2 linked regions of the Xenopus tropicalis genome follow. The protein of the gene in region 2 interacts with the protein of the main gene of each other region in a pairwise test. Links are inferred from orthologs where the notes say so. Each region holds a gene or a part of one and is shown on either strand. Other genes may lie near its edges.

The links.
Region 1: the proteins of rnf5 (region 2) and slc38a7 interact in binary tests that used the Homo sapiens proteins (3 or more experiments, as listed by UniProt). The two-hybrid records come from large-scale screens. The link is inferred for Xenopus tropicalis from reciprocal best matches to the Homo sapiens genes RNF5 and SLC38A7.

Annotation. Positions count from the first base shown.
Region 1 is NC_030680.2:75,575,735-75,579,133, reverse strand, and holds the end of slc38a7 (putative sodium-coupled neutral amino acid transporter 7), read right to left. Parts: intron 2,672-3,399; coding exon 2,569-2,671; 3' UTR 602-2,568; downstream 1-601. UniProt on the Homo sapiens protein: Symporter that selectively cotransports sodium ions and amino acids, such as L-glutamine and L-asparagine from the lysosome into the cytoplasm and may participates in mTORC1 activation. The transport activity requires an acidic lysosomal lumen.
Region 2 is NC_030684.2:73,547,197-73,551,308, forward strand, and holds the start of rnf5 (E3 ubiquitin-protein ligase RNF5), read right to left. Parts: upstream 2,820-4,112; 5' UTR 2,807-2,819; coding exon 2,706-2,806; intron 1,085-2,705; coding exon 1,066-1,084; intron 1-1,065. Other genes in the region: agpat1 (1-acyl-sn-glycerol-3-phosphate acyltransferase alpha), read left to right, coding at 3,047-3,149. UniProt on the Homo sapiens protein: Membrane-bound E3 ubiquitin-protein ligase that mediates ubiquitination of target proteins. May function together with E2 ubiquitin-conjugating enzymes UBE2D1/UBCH5A and UBE2D2/UBC4.

The DNA.
Region 1 (3,399 bases), on a different chromosome or scaffold from region 2:
ATGTTTTAAAAATTGGAAGTATAGCAGATAAAAAAAAACTCATGGGTAAAAAAAAAAGTTATAAAATATATTCCCCAATAATATGTGTGCCTTTTTTAACCTTAAAGGAACAGTTCAGCGTAAAAATGAAACTGGGTAAAACGGATAGACTGAGCAAAATAAAAAAAATATTTGAAATATAGTTGGGCAAAAATATAATCTATAAAGCTGGAGTGGACAGATGTCTAATGTAATAGCCATAACACTACTTTCGGCTCTCTAACCTCTAAGTTAGTCAGTGACTAATTGTAGGGGGCCACATGGGACACAACTGTTCAGTTAGTGTGTGAGCAAGCAGGTCAGATTCAAATTCAAACTAACTGAAGTTATGTCCAATATGCCCCCCCCCCCAAAGTCACTGATTGGTTACTGGCTGCTAACAGCTTAGAGAGCTGTTAAGCAGGAAGTAGTGCTCTGGCCATTATGTTAGACATCTGCCCGCTCCAGCCTTATAGATTACATTTTTGCCTTCATAACTATATTAAAAACATTTTTTTTTTTTTTGCGAAGTCTACCTATTTTACACTGAACTGCTCCTTTAAAGAATTAGCCCCTACAGAAGAAGTGACCTCTATGAAGTAGTGGTTTGGAGGGATGCCAGTTACAGGGCATTCGAGAAAAACAAACCTATTCTCTAATCCCAACCTGTTGTCCCCAGGTTACAGGACACCATTATCCAAAAAGGTATCACATTTGTGGCCCACAGAGCATAATTGTTAAAAATCAAATGATAACATAGTGGCACACATTTCTTGGGATCCTAGTAAAGCTATGAACTAAATTATTATGAGGTTAAATGGATTTCCTTCATGGCTGTATAAAAATTGTAAATGCTGAATTTGACACCACTTATTATTAATTATATAGTTAATTAACATAAGGCTAAATGCTGAATTTTAAGTCTTATTAGCAATGAACTCTACATATAAGCTTAACATGATTGCTTAGTGCTATTTCTATATGACATTATATATAAATTCATGTATATTTGCATGCAAAAACTTGTTTTTTATTGTTTTGATTGGTGGTGTTTACCTATTAAAAAGTAGCATCTTCTGTTGGTCTAAATAGCCTAAGAATCAGTACCCTTATTGTGCACAGGCCATGTATTTGGTACAACTCATGCTTCAATAAATTAGCCTCTTTTGTGTGCTTGTTCATGTGATCTTCCTGCCAATAAGCTCAATATACTAAGGTGGACATGTGACTTAGACAAAAAAAAATTAAAATAGAACTTAAAATGTTGCAATGGAGAAACTAATATTTGAACAAGCCGTTTTTACAGAGATTATGGGGAACGCAGGAGTATATTGCTGTTCAATGAACCATGTTCCTAGCAGATAGGGGGATGCACTTTGCTCTATGCTGTAGTAAACATTTAAATAAAAAATACAGATATTCCATTTGGTTTTCTATTCATACAAGAACAAATCCCTTTCAAAACATGCTATTGCACATTAACAAGAAAAAAAAAAAAGATGGTTCCCAGAATATCAGAGAACCTAACCTTGAACACAATAGGCTGCACCAAAATGTCTGGGTATCAGAAATCTGGAATACACACTTCACATAAAATAACTGTCCATGTCTTGCTTTTTTTAAATATATATTCAGACCAGCATTTGGGGTATCTAAATGATTGGCTGTGGGCCAAATTTGAACTGATAAGTCTATAACTCTGCAAACACGAATTTATATTCCACCTAGTTAATAACACATTGAAAATCAACTCAAGGCAGCTCAACATTGGTCAAGCAACTGTGATTTCATCACACAAAATTTTATGGCTTTATAGAAATGAGCTAGACACACCGGCCATGATACTGACTGACTATAGAAATAGCCACTTTCATAAGGAAGTAAATATTTAAGATATAGTGACATGTTTTGGACTTTAACAGGAGTGTGTCACTATTTGCCTATAAACCAATGTATTATAAACTTTCATAGTGCACCTACAGTTATGTGATTTTGTTGAATATTTAGTTTTTAACAGTAAACCTGGTAAGAAATGATTCCCAAACCATCTCTAGATAATGTAATGCTTTTTGTTTGCTTACACATTCCTCACTGGGTTTATACAGAAAATGGCTATCCAACAACATTTAATCCTCTGAATTATTTCTATAACTGAACCCAAATATATACAGTAAAGTGTGCATTGATCATAACATGAGATTGTTTTGTTTTCTGACAATCAAGACAATCTTCTTATTTAGACCTTAACATATATATTAAAATTGTTCTTCTCAGAAGTGTTGCTGTAGCAAATGTATATCTCTGTAGTTGGTCCTGTGTCCTAATTAAATAATTATTTGTTAATTATACAGTGATTAATGCTTGGCATGTATAAGCATAATTTTTGGTTTGCTTACATTAGCAAATCAAAAAAACTTGTTTGCAGTGCATTTTTAGAACTGTGTCTGAGTAATGCCTTGCAGAACACCAAAAAAAAGGAATCATGTGAGATGTCCAGTATTCAAGTAATGCCTTACAGTTCCTTTAACCTCTTGTATCAAAGTTCATAGATTATCCCAGTAGATCCACAAAGATGGCTTTGGTAGTGGTCTGGCCAAAGATAAATGTTCCAATGGTGACCATGCTAACACCGTAACTCAGCAGTGCCCACCAACTACAAAAGCAAAAGGCAGAGAGAATAAGACCATTAGTACCAAGAGAATAATTAATGCATCACTGGGTGGGTTTCACAGTAAAGCCTGTAACAAAAGGGTATACAAATATACAGTACTAATTATGTCCTCATAAAATGCATTCTAAGTATCTTCTAGTATTCCTACAGTTCTTAAAGGTGTTTTTTCACAGTTTGGTTTTTAAAGTGCACAAGTAGTATTTCTGCACTGCAGCATTGGGGTCCTGAGTTCTATATCAGCTTGGGCACTATCTGTGCACAGTTTGTATGTTCTTGCTGTTTCTGTGTGGGTTTGCCCTGGGTACTACAGCTTCCTCCTATACTCCAATAACATGGCTTCTTATAAAATTGACTCTGTTGTGTATGAATGTGATAGGGAAATTGGTCTGTAAGATCTACTGTGGAAGGGACTGATGTGAATCATGTATAATCTCAGTACAGCTCTGCCTAAACGTGTTGGTGCTATATATACATAAGATATATAAATAACAGATAAATAAAATTTAAAAGATGCTATTAAAAGCAGTTTCTGAATGTTTTGCATGTTTGTTTCTTACTCGTAAAACAATTTTGTAAACCAGCTGATTAAAGGGGTTGTTCACCTTTGAGTTAACTTTTAGTATAATGTAGAGCAGGGGTCCCCAACCTTTTTAGCACCACGGCCTGGTAGGAGGCAAAAAATTGTTTCCACGGACCGGAGGCAGAGGGGG
Region 2 (4,112 bases):
CACAGGCACATAGCAGATAACAGATAAAACACTATTGTATTCCACAGAGCTTATCTGTTATCTGCTATGTAACCTGTGCCTTTTCTCCAGCTTGAATGGCTGCCCCCCATGGCTACACAGCAGCTTATTATATAAATTATAGTAGTGTTACTGTAGCAAACACACCAGTTTTACCAGTGCAGGGCAACAGTGCATTATATTTTTATTACTTTAAAGCTCTTTCATTTTTTGGTGTTACTGTTCCTTTAACCTTCAAAGCCCTCCATTCCTCTGCTCCTCACTACATCTCTTCCCTTGTGTCTCTGTATGTTCCTGGCCGACTCCTTCGTTCCTCACAGAGCGATCGTTTGGTTGCGCCCCCCACTACTACTGCTGTTTCCCGCCTTAAACTTTTCTGCCTTGCTGCCCCTTACATTTGGAATGCCCTCCCTGATTTCCTCCGAAGAGAATCCTCCCCCAGTCTTTTTAAAATTAAACTTAAAGACTACCTTTTGGAGCACTCACCCAGCACCTGATCTGGGAATCAGCACTTATATTGTAGTGTCACCCACTGTGACCTACAGCACTTATAGTGCATTTGCCTATTTGTGTCTGTAAGTTACCCTCCCATATAGATTGTAAGCTCTACGGGGACCTCCATCTTCTTGTGTCTTTGACTCTTAACTTATTGCAACTGTATTTATCTTGTATCTATCTGTATTTATTGTTGTACTTTGTATTTATCTATTATTTAATAATCCCCTGTTTGTATTAATGTATTGTACTGTACAGCGCTGCATACATAAGTAGCGCTTTATAAATTAAGATATACATACATACATACATACTTTTCACTATATGAACAGGTTGCAGTCAATATGCAAACGGTTTGAACTACTACAAACAAATAAAATACCCTTCATGTATACTACAGTAGTTTATCTATGTTATGCTTTTATTACAAATAAATATTTCTGTAACACTGAACATGTGATCTGAATGAAACCGTTAGCACTGCTAGCTGCTGCTGCTACAAAGCTAAAGAAGAATTTAACTCATTCTACTTTTTTATTAATAAATACATACCTGATGCAGACAAGGCCAGCTGTAAAACACAAACATAACATCAGAATACAGAACACAATGCAGTTTTAACGATCAGCGTTGTTATATAAACACACATACAGAAACTACAAGCAGTGGCATTTTACAAGCGTCTCTTCCATACAATACATATAAACAAAATCTGTTTACACTAACAAATCAGTGTTTATACTTTGGACACATTATCTGTTTAGCCTTGCGGTCGTTTGTGAAAAAATATTCATTTTAAACATATGAATCTGAACATACTTTGCGTTTTCTGGCTTAAGCCAAGTGAGTTTTAATGATATAATGAAATATGTAAAGCAAAATGCACTTTCTTTGGCTAAGACAAAAAACAATATTGTACCAGCTGTGCTTACAGGTTCTATTGGAATATTTGTGCTTAAAATGGCTGTGCTTGCAGATATAGCCTAGTTTATAATTCAATTGTAGAATTATGAAGACATTGATTTTCTAGAACAAGCATCAAAGGATCCTCTAATTGTCACCTTTAATTTCAAGCATCTACAGGGCACAGGCACATATGTACCAGCAATGTAGAATCTGCAGTTCCAGGGTTTCAGTTTAATCCAACAACACAAATCATGGCGTGGATCAAAGGGGCTCAATAAGTGAAAGGATTAATATATTCACTGTAAGATTGGGTTAAACATAGAAGATTGCAGGGTACAGTGAAAATACATCAAGAGAACCTGTTAAAATTTGCTTATAACAAGATTACAAAATGTCAAAGGGGAACTGATGCAAAAATAAAAATCAGCTTTATCTTAAGAAAATATGATTGGTCAAAAAATATATTTTGTACTATTTCTTTAATATTTAAGTTACTCTTCAGTCTGTTTTTTTTGTTCATGGAGTAGTCAGTGAGGACTAATTCATCATTGGGGATGCATTCCAATTGCCTAAAGGAAATCACTCTTTCAAAATAACCAACTCGCACACAATCTTGATCCTCTACATGAATTATTTGTGCTTAAGTCTGCTTTTATGAAAGAATTAACTCAAATACATCTTCTATGGCAGGCAATGGGAGCCCCACCCAATAGCTGTATTAAACATGATTGTCAATCATAATCAGACTCCTGCTTCAAGAAAAAAAAAAAAACAGAAAACATTGAAACAATGTAACAGTAAGGTCTCCATTTTTATTTTATTTTATTTTATTTTTTTAAATCATTGCAGACAATTTTCCTTTTTTCATTGCAAAAAAATAGTTTTTGTATGGAGGCAAATTTTAATACGTTTAGAAGGTTTGTTTTTCATGACATGCAACTTATATTGCATTTTAGTTACCCTTTAACATGCTGTAGCTACAGGTCACATGATATGGTTCTAAGAGCATTCAACACATTCCAACTAGTACTCTGGGCCTCATTCTTTCCCCTCATCCAATGCTTTGAGTCCTTTATAGGGGAACAGTTTCAGTTGGGGTGAAGCTTTCCTGAATATTTCGGTCTTGTACTTTACTGATAGCTTTCTGACCGTAGCCGAACCCCCTAACAATGCATTCCTACAGCAAACTAAATACATACCCACTGAAGGACACAGTCTCAGCAAAGCAGAATTAACAAGCTTAGCAGAGACCTGCCTACAGGGCAGACACATCACATTCCACTCACCAGTACAAATGCCCACACACGCTGACAACAGGTTCCCGCGCTGTCTCCAAGCAGATATTACACTCATAAGCCGCACCGGGGCTGCCAGCAGCCGCCGCCATGGCAACCGATCAACCGGAACCTAGCTGTGCAACTAGCGGAGCGTCACGGGAAAGGTTAAAGAGTGTATTGGACGCAAAGATAAACAAATCTTGTGTGTGATAGGGTGGACAAGTTCTCCATCACAATTATGCACCCCTATTGGCTATGCACTTTCTAGTTAGCTGTCAAGCAGTCAAAATGCTGATTGGTGATACTAGGATAATACGTGACATCGATTGGTTGTAACTCCCGTCACTCAAATGCTGACGACACCTCTTGTCTCGGATAACCGTTATGACGCGGCGTCTTGCGTTCGTGCGGGAGTGGAATACACGTTCCGGGCCCACAGGGTTTTTTTTTGTTGTAGGTTAAAAACTTTATTCCTTGTTAAAAGAAGGCAATAATGAACAATCCTTATTTGTAATCGGAGGTGAAGACTGTTATGGTAAAATTATTCGAGTAGAGTTACCAGCAGTGATACGTATTTTATAAACTACCGGATAACAATATATTTTATTGAAACTTGTGCAATATTATGCGATAGTTTCATAAGTGATGTGTTTAGAGGCCTGTCACCGGCAAAATCTGCAAGCAAACTTTGTATCTGTGCTATTAACGCTTAAGTACACACACATACTTCCACCCAGCCCTATATTATATTTATAGCTTTTACTTTGTAAACGGAAGATTCTGTTGGTTATATTTAGCATCGTTCAGACTGTAGGTCGGAAAACAAAATCGATGACTGGTTTTTTTTGGTGGGGGGAGGTGGTTTTCTATGTTTTTTCCTTTAGTGAATTTTCTTCCTACTAAAGGCAGTACTGATTCAAATTTATATATTATTATTTATTCTAAACCAGTTCTTGAAGCAACACCAAGCCTGACTTCCAGGCTAAATCTTAGTTCCCTGAGAACAAGTTTGATAAACCCTGATTAAGATATTTTAAATGTAAGTAATAGTAGTAAGAATGCAGGACAAAATGCCATATATTTAGTTCCTATAATTTTGTAGATGACAGTTTTTTGTTTTAATAACTATAGATACAATAAATGCATGTGTTTTCCTTTAGTAAGGTTACTGTATTACTGTAATAAATACATTTTTTGTTACTTAGAATCTGAAGATAAGTGGTTCCTGTATAATGAAACCATACAGAAACAACTCTTAAGGTGGCCATACACGGGCCGGTTGTAGCTGCCGATATCGGTCCCTTAGACCAATTCGGCAGCTTATCGGCCCGTGTAGGGGCAGGAACAACGGGCGACCTCACCAAGCGAGCGGATCTTAACATGTATGGTCACCTTTAGGGTAGTGGCACTTAGAGT